2 linked regions of the Caenorhabditis elegans genome follow. The protein of the gene in region 1 interacts with the protein of each later gene in a pairwise test. Each region holds a gene or a part of one and is shown on either strand. Other genes may lie near its edges.

The links. The genes of interacting proteins can lie anywhere in the genome.
Region 2: the proteins of zipt-2.3 (region 1) and cyb-3 interact in a two-hybrid assay, tested with the Caenorhabditis elegans proteins (one large-scale study listed by BioGRID).

The regions. Positions count from the first base shown.
Region 1 is NC_003280.10:13,711,763-13,718,526, forward strand, and holds zipt-2.3 (Zinc transporter ZIP3), read right to left. Parts: upstream 4,118-6,764; 5' UTR 4,082-4,117; coding exon 4,001-4,081; intron 3,495-4,000; coding exon 3,364-3,494; intron 2,994-3,363; coding exon 2,729-2,993; intron 2,501-2,728; exon of another isoform or gene 2,440-2,500; intron 2,390-2,439; coding exon 2,012-2,389; intron 1,362-2,011; coding exon 1,257-1,361; 3' UTR 1,144-1,256; downstream 1-1,143. Other genes in the region: kqt-3 (Potassium voltage-gated channel subfamily KQT member 1), read left to right, coding at 1-79, 771-983; sre-46 (Serpentine Receptor, class E (Epsilon)), read right to left, coding at 6,423-6,764.
Region 2 is NC_003283.11:15,393,306-15,398,672, reverse strand, and holds cyb-3 (G2/mitotic-specific cyclin-B3), read right to left. Parts: upstream 2,978-5,367; 5' UTR 2,961-2,977; coding exon 2,915-2,960; intron 2,863-2,914; coding exon 2,768-2,862; intron 2,717-2,767; coding exon 2,294-2,716; intron 2,245-2,293; coding exon 1,751-2,244; intron 1,706-1,750; coding exon 1,606-1,705; 3' UTR 1,325-1,605; downstream 1-1,324. Other genes in the region: fbxa-199 (G-protein coupled receptors family 1 profile domain-containing protein), read left to right, coding at 130-353, 404-615, 981-1,111, 1,153-1,288; T06E6.1 (WD repeat-containing protein 74), read left to right, coding at 3,723-3,866, 3,909-4,033, 4,083-4,389, 4,439-4,738, 5,049-5,367. UniProt on the Caenorhabditis elegans protein: Could be involved at the G2/M (mitosis) transition. Interacts with the CDK1 and CDK2 protein kinases. G2/M cyclins accumulate steadily during G2 and are abruptly destroyed at mitosis. Plays a role during oocyte meiosis II.

The DNA of each region.
Region 1 (6,764 bases):
GGGTCAGTACGACGGGAAAGGGTCGCGGAAGGGACATCCTGTGACAATTGGTTCCAGACTGTCGCGTCTCGAATTACAGGTTTGTCAATGAAATGGCGAAATGATAAGAGATCAAATTGATAAGAAAACGAGAATTTTTTTTTCTGAATTTCACACCTTTTGGTCAGAAATGTTGCGGAATTTGGAAGAAAATGAAAAAAAAAAACAATTAAAGTTCTTAAACTGTGAGATAAGAAATGTTTTGAACTATTTTTGGTCCAAACTGTACCGTCAATTTCATCGTATCTAGAAAGTATCCCTACAGTAACCCTACAGTAACCCTACCGCACCTCTGATTTTATATAACCTATCCTACAGTAGCGCAGTGTTCCTACAGTAATCCTAGAGTAAGCCTAGTACTGCTACCCTACAGTAGAAAAAGGACCCTTCAGTAATCCTACAGTTCCCCTACAGTAACTCTACCGTACCTCTATATTCATAGGACCCCTACAGTACCCCTAGCGTAATACTGCTACCCTACAGCAGTGAAGGGATCCTACAGTAAGGCTACAGTAACCCTACAGTACCCCTAGCGTACCTGTGATATCATCACTTTTACAGTGTCCCTACAGTACCCCTCCCCCCCCCCCCCCCTACATTCCCAACCCCTATACCTCCAAGTATATCGTACTACTACAGTACCCCCCTCCTACCGTACCTCTAAATTTATAGGACCCCTACAGTACCCCCAAACTACCGTACCCCTCACTAAAACCCTCTCATTTTTTCAGATGTCAAGCCTCGACCGAAAAGTGGAGTCTAGTAACCGAACACTGAACGCTCTCTATCGCCTAATGGCCGACCGGAACTCGCTGACGATATCTCCATCACCGCCGGCACTGATAAGTAGGCCAGTGTCGCCTGCCGCCTGCCTATCACCACGAGATCAACTCTCGCCGACAAGCATCAGCAGTCAAAGATCCGGATCACCGGGCTGGCAGTAATGTGTATCGATTGATTTTAGGGGGCATAATTGTGGCCAAGGTTTTTCACGACCACGACGCATCAACAGCGGGTATTTTTCATTGATTCTTTTCATTTTCTCTTACTGTGGTTCAAACATTTCTGGTTTTGTATTCAAAAAAAAATTTCAAGACAAAAAAAAAAAATAATAAGTTTATTTTTTCTTTAAATGTTGTTTTCAAATCTACCGGTATGTCAGATATGACGTATAATATGCAAGGTGTTAAGAAATTGTGAAACAAAAAAAAAAAAGATTAGGTAGCCCAAATCATGTTGACAGCGAGAAGGGCGAATCCTCCAAAACTGGCGATCCACTGAAGGATGTTGGAGTGGTTGTTGGCACGTTCTGGGGCAAGGATCTGGAAGAAAAAAGATATATGAATGGGGTTAATTGTAGGTAAAGTGGCTTTACAGTAATCCTACAGTAATCCTACAATAAACCTAGAACTGTCACCCTATAGTAGTATAGTGTTCCTACAGTAATCGTAATACTACTACCTTATAGTAGAAAAAAGCTCCTACAGTAATCCTCCAGCAAACCTAGAGCTGTCACCCTACAGTAGTAGTGTTCCTACAGTAATCCTACAGTAAACCTACAGTAATATATTGTTCCTACAGTAGTCCTGGTACTGCCATCCTACAGTACTAAAGAGTTCCTACAGTAATCCCACAGCAAACCTAGAACTGTCACCCTACAGTAACAAAGTGTTCATACAGTAATCCTACAGTAACTCTAGAGCTGTCACCCTACAGTAGTGTATTGATCATACAGAAATCTTAATACTACCACCCTACAGTAATCCTACAGTAAACCTAGGACTGTCACCCTACATTAGTATAGTGTTCCTACAGTAATCCTAGAGTAAACCTAGTACTGCCGCCCTACTATAGTACAATACCCCTAAATTAACCAATACATTAACCCCACATGGCCGCCTTACCATAATACAGTACCCCTACAGTAATTCTACAGTAACCTCGCACTGCCACAATAGTGTCTTAAACTCACCTCAAAAAAGGAGATATAGAGAAAAGTGCCGAGGGAGAAGCTCATCAAAACCGCCGTCGTGATATCCTTCGGCGTCTGATTCATATTCGAGCTGGAGATCAGAATTCCAGCTGTTCCGCCGATCACGTTAAACAGTGCTAAAACCAAAATAAGAATTACGACAATCCAACTGCGTCGCGGATGAGTTCTCGTGAGCTTCATCCCAAGAGAAAACATGACGATCGCCTTATGCATGGCGATTCCCAGGAAGATCGACGTGACTGAAACTGCATCCTCTTGAATTCCAAACGCAAAGCATTCGAAGAAGACGTGAAGGATGAAGGCCGAGGTGAAGATGATTGATTGGCGTACCGGACCCTCACCGTCGTCGTCGTAGTTCTGAAAATGTATGCTTACTTAAAATGCTCATAACTCCGCTAGGCCAACTATTATCAAAATTTTGTTAACTAACAAAATATGAAGTTTTAAATTTTCTATATTTTGTTAGTTGACAACTTTTTTACTTTTCAAGCCTCTAAAAAGTTATGACCGTTTGAAATATAGACACGTCTCCAGATTTCTTTTTTGAAACCCTTGTAGATCAAAGTTAAAAATACTATACATTTTGTACATTTGCACATAGTCTGTCATATTCTTATCACCACTAAGTTATCAGTTTCCAGTTCACTTCAACGAAAAGCTTTTAGTCCAACCAAAAAAAAAGTTCACTGAACCCACCTCTAGACTTCTCTTGCACGGCTCCACTAAATTCCCCTCCACATTGAAAATACTGCCTACAGTAGCTAGTCTCGCACGTGGAAATGTCACATTGGACTCCATAATTGGATCATTTGAATGTGAATGCCCATGGCCTACATTACAGATCACACTGGATAACTCTTCGGTGAGGTAGACGAAGAAGAAGCCGAGTAGGGCGATTAGTTGGACGAATGGGTAGTCACTGGTGTAGTTTGTGTCGGTTTGTACGGATTCCCAGGCTTCTCTGAAATGCTTAGTAGACGTTCTTGCATACATACATGTTTGCTTGGTGGCCGCGAAAAAAGAAAACTCGTCCACCGATTTAGAAATTTTTTTAGCAGTTTTTCAGGGTTCTTTGGGTTTTTTTTCATAAAAATTTAATTTTATTTCCACGACCAGATGGCATTTTTTGTGATTTAAGATTTTTTAAAATTATATTTCCGTTTGAAATTGCAAGAAAAAATTTTTTTGGGAAAAAACTAGGCCACCAAATTAAAAAAAATTTCAAAGAATTTTTGGAGCGATTTTTTTCAGAATTATTAATTTCTTTCCGCCGTTTTTCTTCCAATTTTTGAAAATTATTCACAATTTTTTCCAATTTTTTCCAAACTTACAAGCAATCCGGTAGCATATCCAAAAAGCATACAGACAGGAAAACTCCTCCGGCAAAACAGGAAAATAGTGAGAGAATAAGGGAAGAGTGTTGGTGAATTGCACTTTTCGTCGTGTTCAGGTAGGAAATTACCTGAAAAAAAATTGAACAATTTTATCTTGAATTGCTGTATTTAGCCTGAGCCTTGGCCTAATAGTAAGCCTCAGCCTAATAAGCCTAAATAGCGTCAGTAACGCGCTAACGCTCGCCACTGACGCCAAGCTTAAGCCTAAGCCTAAATAAGCGTAAGCCGAAGCCTAAGTCTAAGCCTAAAAGCCTAATCCTAAATCTTAGCCTAAGCCTAGGCTTAAGCCTCAGCCTAAGCCTAAGCCTCAGCCTAAGTCTAAGCCTCTGCCTAAGCCTAAGCCTCAGCCTAAGCCTAATCCCCTTTTGGAGAATGATCCTACTTGCCTGCCTGCCTGCTTTAACATACGTTTGCCTTGTGTCTACAAAGTAATCTTTTAAATGGAATTAGTAGGTAGGTAGGCGTAAGCAGGTAGGCAGATAGGCAGGTAGGCAGGCAGGTAGGCATAATCAAGGCGTTCAGGCATTTTATTTGCGTAAAAATTCAAAAAATACCCAATATTCAAAAATCTTACCTTTATCGGTAATAGGCCAAAAATTATAGTCATCAAGGCCATAACTCCGAGCATAATCCATTTGAGCAACTCCAAAGACATATTTTGTTCGACCTAAAAATCTGTTGAATGAGTTGATTTCAACTAGAAAAGAGCACAGCAAAATTGATAAGAAACTAGGGCGGAGAGGTCGGGAGAGGCCTTTTTCGATAAGGCCTGGCACATATAGGCCTATCGAGTTTTATAGGTTTTTGCCTGTTTCGTCATGAATTGACATTGTCGTGTTTCGGTGTTTAAGACGGTGGGGCTTTTGGAGTGTATTACTAGAGTTGATGAAAATTAAACACATTTTATGACTTTGATACTGATGTGTACGTTGAACTTGCCGGTTTTTTAATCTAGAAAATTTAAAAAAGAGACAATTTTTATCCTATCATCCTTTTTTTCCGTATTTTTCCACAATTTATTGTTTTATTTTGTCACAAGCTTTATAGGCAACTTTTTTTTTCAACATTTTAAAAACTTGTTCCTTGTCTGAAAGGTTTCTTTCTAGTGATCTGCGCCTTCAAATTTTTTTTTCAAAAGAATTTCAGTTCCTCTAGGAACTTGGCAAGAAATTGGCAAAATTTCTAGAACTTTTTGGTAATCCTACAGTACCCTACAGTTCCCCTATAATACCCCTAAAATACTCATACATTACGCTTACAATACTTCTACAGCACTTCTTTAGTAACCCCACAGTAATTCACGAGTAGTCCTACAGTAATTATACAGTAATCCTTCAGTAGTCACCCTAATGTACTACTACAGTAGTTTTACATTAATCATACAGTACTCTACAATAATTCTATACTAACCCTTCATAACCCTACAATACCGTACAGTATTCCTACTGCCCTCCTACAGTAACCCTACAGTATCGTTCGAGAAAAAAAAAACCTGAATAGCTTAATTATAATTGAATTTCCGCGCCTATTTTTTCGTGCAAAATTCCAGAAAGAAACCAAAAATGGCTTAAAACCGGTATTTTCAAATTTCCGTGTATTTTTTGCATTTTTTTGCGGTAAATTTTTTGAAAATTTCAAAATCGAATATGCAATTTAAAAATGTTATGATTGAAGGCTTGAAAAAAAAACTATTTAACAAATTCAAAATTGAGCCGCTTAAAATGCCAAAACAGTTGTAAATAATAATTTGACAAAAACATCATCATTTCAAAATGAAAAATGTAGAAAACATCCTGCTTTTCAAGCCGTGTGGGCAAATAAACAAATAATAAAGAAGTACTTAAAAACAAGGTTAGCGCCACGTCACAGAACAAGTATCGTGGCCGCCAAACGGAAAAGTTCGGCCACCGAGAACAATTACTTTATTTTTACAGTTGACAAATTGCAAAACGATTATTTGAAGCTTTGAAGCAATGGAACAGAAAATCGAAATTTCCCGGTGATTTAGAAAAATCGCAAAATTTTCCACGAAAATTCCTCCCTCTATATGTATTTTACGATCATATTTGCGAACACCTGTAAAATATTTTTATTGGTTTCGGGGTGATGCGGTTACCGTATTCTAGTTGATCGAAAATGTTAAAAAATTTCAGTGATAATCATTTGTTTTTCTATTAGTTTTTAGTGAATGGAGAAGAATGAGCCATATTTCATCAAAAATTGGAACTTAAAATTTTACAAATAAAAGTGTGTGTTTTTTTTTTTTTGAAATTTTTATTCCAAAATCAGGAGTCGTTTTTGAACACTTCCCTTTTTTGCTAAAATTTCTTTGACATTTCAGATCAACTTGCGATTCGTTTATTTTGTCCCCTCGGGGGACTGGGCCGAGCCCGGCAGCAGTGCAACGCCAGGACGACTCTTGGGAAGTCGGAGCAAGCCCCGAGTCTTCCCTAGGTTCCAAAAATCATATAACCTTTATTACACTCATTCGAGTGTATACCGTAGGTTAATACGATAAGAACAGATACTACACTTTGATCTTAGCTAATAAGCCGAAGAAGCGATACTGAATGGACGAGGCGGCAGAGGTAGTGGGGAGCTGTGTACCGACACTTAAGGGGTGCGCGTGTGCCATTATGCAATGAGCGCAGGCAGAGGTTGGTTGCCTTTTTTGGTCTACAAAAAATGCGGGATTTTTACCCACCAGACAGATGTGACGTCGGCTGAGAAATCGGTCTCTAAATACCCGCAATTCTCGTAGATCAAATCGGCACACCGACACCACGTGCCATTCGCGTTTGCGGGGCGTGAAAAATCTGTAATTTCAAAATTTCGTGAAAAGCCGATGTATAAAGAAAATCGATCAAACTTATGTAAATTCAAATTTTCAGAAAAAATCGATAAACCGGGGTTGTCCGAAGTTTGAAAAATTAACAAAGCAACTACAGCACTTCAAATAATTTTCTTTATATTAAAAAAAATCAATAAATCAATAATTAAATCCATGTATTCGTTAACTGATTAAAATGAATTTCCGTTTCCTTCATCAGCTCCAAATTTTTCACCGTACTAACATGTGGTGTTATAGATGTATTTTCTCGTTTTTTCTTCAATTTTTTGCATAAAAACGTATGATTCCGAAAAGAATCCACAGAATATAGAATCGCCGGGCACATCACCAAAGCCGATAGATTTATAACTGCTTGCATGCAGAGGTTCAGCAGAGAATCGGCTTGCGGGAATATATTAAAGTATAAGGCGAAGCAGGTGGTGAAGCCGAATATCAGGATACCAATTAAAGATATAAGCACCATCCGGATCATGTTAAAGCACTTGAC
Region 2 (5,367 bases), on another chromosome or scaffold:
AAAGGGCTCTACTGTAGGAGTTAAAGGGTGAGGAAGTCCCAAGAACTTTTACGCGCCGAGACCCATCTTAATAAATCCGCGCGCCTTTGAGAATTCTTCAGTCCAAACTAATTTCCAAAAACAATTCAGCGTAAACGAATATCTCGCATATTGGTCACATTTATGTGGATATATCCTTATGATCTGCTATAAAGCTTCAACATACTTTCATTTTATCATATCACTAAATAGATTTCTATCCGTATTCACACCAATATTTTACAATCAAATGTTCAATATAAAATTCACCAAATACATTGTCATGGGAATATATTTATTATCCTTTGGCCTAATAACTCTGTTCTTCCAAATTTGTAAGTTCACTAAATCGTACATCGTATTATAAGCAAAAATATTCTTTCAGTAGGATGCCAAAATTATTATAATGCTAAATATCTAGCATTTCAATATTCCGGTGGAAAAATTTGCCGTTGGTATGGGACATATGGAGATTTTTATCAAGTTTTCACACTAACAATCACTAGTGCATTTTTGAATTTTTCTGCCATTTGGAAGGTGGCAAAATTGAGGACGAAGTCGGTTAAAAATTCGATTGAGCTGAACTGGCTGAAGCAGGTATTGTTATTACGGAAATGCAAAAAAATGGGTCTCGTTAGGTATTTAGCGGCGAAACCTGTAAATTCGAACGTTTTTCCGTCATTTTTATTGATTTTTGAATCGAAATTGATAATTTTTTTAAAAAACTGTTCATCTTGTTCAATTTCGACGTAAAAATATTTGAAATAACAAAAAAAGATATTTAATTGAAAACGTTTGAATTCACGGTTTTGCCGCCAAATACCTAACGAGACCCAGCTGTTGGGGGCGGAGCATTTTCAATTGCCCGTGGAGCGCGTTTCCACGTTGATTTCAAATGGAGCGTTTTTCTGCGGCCCCATAATAAACTATCATCGCAAATTGCATAAAAATGAAACTTTCAGTCCTTGAGCCAAACTTTGTTTGTACTAATAATTGTTTGCTGTTTCACATGGGGACCTCGACTGCTGCCTGACAAAAAATTCACATTCATATTTTCTTCAATTCTATGGGCAGCAGTTCATTGCTTCGATGGGTGAGAAATTCAATGAAGATTGTGAAAATTTCAAATTTCAGAATAATAACCCTCGTTTTCAACTCTGAAATTTGGCGTAAAATCTTTTCTACAGGCTCCGCAGTTATCGTTGTCAGCACTGTAAGGACAAAAACCGCTTGTAAAGTTGCGCCGATCAAGTTCAAGTCTCCACATTAGTCATTAATCTGAAATCACACCATCAATAAACAATTTGCCGGAAAAATAATTTATTTTGGCGTAGCTCGAAATGTGTTTAAAAATTGGTAGAAATTTTGCAATATGTTCAGATTTTTAAAAGCAAAAAACAAAATCAGGCCAAAATTGCGTATGTGTATTTGTGAGAGATGACAGGAGTTAAATGGAATACAGAAGAGAATTGCAATACGTATACAAAATATATCAAAAGAGGCATAGGTGTCAATCGTTTGAAAGTTTTGGTGGGTGAACAGTTGAGAGGGGATTCAGAATCCAATACGGGAATAAATTAGGATTAGTTATGGGTATGAGAGCATTGGGACTGGAGCATATGTGTGGGAATCCACAACCTTGAGGGTATCCGGGAGCATTGGGATCGAGGCGACATGGAAGAATACTCTGGAAAAAAATATTAAAAATCGATATTTCTTTGCAAAAACTCACTCATGAGAATACTTCTGGCGAACGGATGTGAGTTGAGCCCACTTGTCCTTCGAAAAATGAAGAATGTGGTTCATGTGCTCCACCAGTGGCATCACCTCCTCTCCAGTGAATCCAGAATACTTCTCGAGCACTGGATTCCACTCGTACTCATTATTCTTGTCGAGCATACGCATGGCCAAGACGAAAGCGGCGGCGGCAAGACGGGATTGTGAGACCATAGCGTATTCGTAGACCATCAGTGATGTCTCCAGAATGAAGCGTCCCATGGTGAGTGTCTTCATATCGACACGACAGACACGACCGAAGCGGCGAAGATACCGATAGCTCAGTGGTGAGCCGAGATCATATCCGACGGTGGCGAAGAGTTCACGCTCCATGGCAAGAAGCTCATCGCGGGAGAAGCGATCTCCGGAAAGGTAGATGAGATCATCGACGAGTGGTGGAGATCGCTCATCGTACTTGGCGGCAATGAAGATGGCGACACATGCAAGCTTCTGAAAATTTATTGATAAAAATAATAGACTACTTTGGATTTTATCTCACCTGAATGGTGTTTTTGTCAACATTCTTCGTCTTGCACAAGTACATATCCGTGAGCTTAACGGCGTTGTAAAGGGTCTCGTGGTTGAGCTCAAATGTCTCCTGAATCTCAACCATCCAGTCAATGAGGATAGCACGAGTCTTGACGTCAACCTCCGGATGTTTGTGAAGGTACTTTCTCACTCGAAAGTGAACTTCTCGGTGTCTGTAGTAGTCAAAAATCCCTTGAGCATAGTCCGAGATACTGTCCGGGTTTCCGGCCTCCTCGAGGTCGTAATCGTAATGAGGACACGGATCAACATATCTGGACTTTTGCGGTGGAAGGTTCTCGACGTCTCGTCTACTCGTTCTCGACTTTCCCAGTGGATCTCGCTTTGCCGAGTCGATTTTAAATCCAGAGATGTGTGCGCGGAGCTCGGTGAGACCCTGAAACAATTAATTTGAGAAGGCCCAAAAAATCGATAATCCTCGTTCTACCTTGCTGTGTTGCTTCTTGGCTGCCGGTTCCGATGGATTCTTTAGAGCATCCAATTGCTCAGCCTGCTTTCGTTTTTGTTGATGCCGAGAATCTGCTGTAAATTAAAATTTAAAATCTATAAATAGTTTTCGAGGAAATCCGCTCACCTTGTGAAGTCAGGTCGACATTCTTGGCCTGGCTTCGCAGCATCATTTTGAATGCTGAAAATACTGAAATAAATTACATTGAAAGTGGGGAAAATGGAGACAAAATATTAAACGGAAACTGCGAAGCGATGAAACCAAAAAAATGATGATTTTTGGGAGCAGAGAGCAAATGGCAAACGATGGTGAACACTGGAAATTGCCGCCCTCTTGGTGGGTCTCGCGGGGTGTATTTGAAATTGCCCCCCGTTCGGTGGAGCGCACATGCCTCGGAGTACGGTCGGCGATATTTCTCACTGTCGACAAAAATGCTTAAAAGTTCAGAAAAAAGTGATTGAAAAATTTGAAAGTGAACTGGGTTTGATAGAAAATGTGCTTATTGATAAGAAAATAACATTCAAGTGTTTTGTATAAACTCCAAAAATGTGATTTGCTGTCCTCAGAAATATTGATTAAAAGAAAATCAGATATTTTAGGGGTTTTAAAGAATGAAAAATAGAACAATTGTTTTCAGAAAATAAAATACTTACAATTGTTCTTTTAGAGAATAGGTTAACAATTGAAAATAAGCTAAATGTACTCAAAAGTGATTCAATAATGGAAAAAATGATAAAATTGCAGAAATCGCATTCAAATCTGCCGCTTGTTCGGCAGAGCGCACTTGCATTTCTCATTTTTATTCGCATTTTTTCTTGTAATTTTACTTTTGTTCTCGCTAAAATAGAGTTATTTCCCAATTTAACCTTAATCTGCGCTTAATTTCTCGAAGAAATAATTATTTTCGACTTATTTCATCAATTTTTCAGGTAAAATGGACTGCTACGTGGGAGCAACCACTGGCGCTCTGAAAGGAGCAATTTTGAAGGAGAATACCTTCCAAAATCTCAATGAAATCAAGTCCCTTGACCCGAAAAGCGATGAGATTACCTCGATGATCTGGAATGACGAGCAACAGGTTAGTTATGGTCGATAAATTATTTTAAAAGTTGAATTTCAGACTGAAATCCTGATCGCTCGAGTAAATCGGGATCTGCAGCTACTTGGCATTGAAGAAAACGAACTTGTATCGATATTAACAGTTACCGGAGGCACTGGACCAATCAAAGGCCTGCATAAAGCAGAGTAATCATACAAAAACCGTGGTTTCAAATCTCAAAATTAAATATTTCAGTGAAAAAATCGTCACTTGCGTTGAAAGCGGCGAACTGCAAATCTGGAATGACAAATCTGAAATCTTGTCCGAGTGGAAGACCGGTCCAGGAGTTGCCGTCATGCGGGGATCCACCGAGAAGCCAGAAATCGTCACGGGCGGTATGAAGAATCTTCTGAAAACGTGGAATTTGGAGACCGGCCAGCAGACGTGGAGCGCTAAGAATGTGCCGCCCGATATGCTCGGATTGGAAATTCCTATCATGATTACAGATGCAAGATTTATTCCAGGACAGAACACGATTCTCGAGGCCACAAAGCTTCACGAGGTGCTTTTCTACTAAAATTAATAATTTTAAAAACGATTTTTCTTTTCAGATGCGCCTCTACGATCCACGCGCTCAACGCCGACCCGTCAAGAAGATCCCATTTATGGAAAATCCGATAATGTGTACCTCGCTCACATACAAAACCAATCAAATACTCGCCGCAAATTCCATCGGAGAAATGGGACTTTTCGATTTGCGCAGTAAAGTTCATCCGATGTGCAAGTTCAAGGGACAAGCCGGATCTATCCGGAGCATCACAGCTCATCCAACACTGCCGCTGGCTGCTTCCGTTGGAATTGATCGATTTTTGAGAGTACACGATTTGCAATCGAGGAAGCTGATTCATAAGGTTCGAGAAATGACAATTTTCGGCTGAAAAAGAAGATTTTCGCGAACTTCATCACGTTTTACGTGGAGTTTTGATTTCAATTAAGCAATCAATCCGTGAATTTTGCACAAATCAAAAAAAAGAAGATAACGAAACAATTAAAATTGAAACTTTATTGAAAAATCTACAAAAAACAGTGAAAATCAGAGAAAAACCCGTGCTGCAAAATTGCGAAATCATGCTCTGTCTCTATTTCTGTGCGGCACTGTTTTTTTTCGTGAAAATTTACAAAAAAAATCTCTGAAAACCAAGAAACCCTCAATTTTTTCAGATTTACTGCAAAACGCGCCTGAATCGTGTCCTACTCCGTGATAATTTATCAATTTTGAACGACAAAAAGCCTGCATCGAAAAAGGAGATTAATGAGGATGAAACGGAATACGGAAATATGACCAAAGATGGATATCGATCTGAAAATGAGGATGACGAAGATGATGATGACGTCATTGAGGAGGATGACGTGTGGGGAGTGATGGAACCGGTGAAAAGGGCGAAAAAATCATCCGACGACGATGTGGAGGAAATTCAAATTACATCTGAAACAATTGCGGTGCCGTCGAAAAATTCCCAAAAGTTGAAGAGGAAAAATG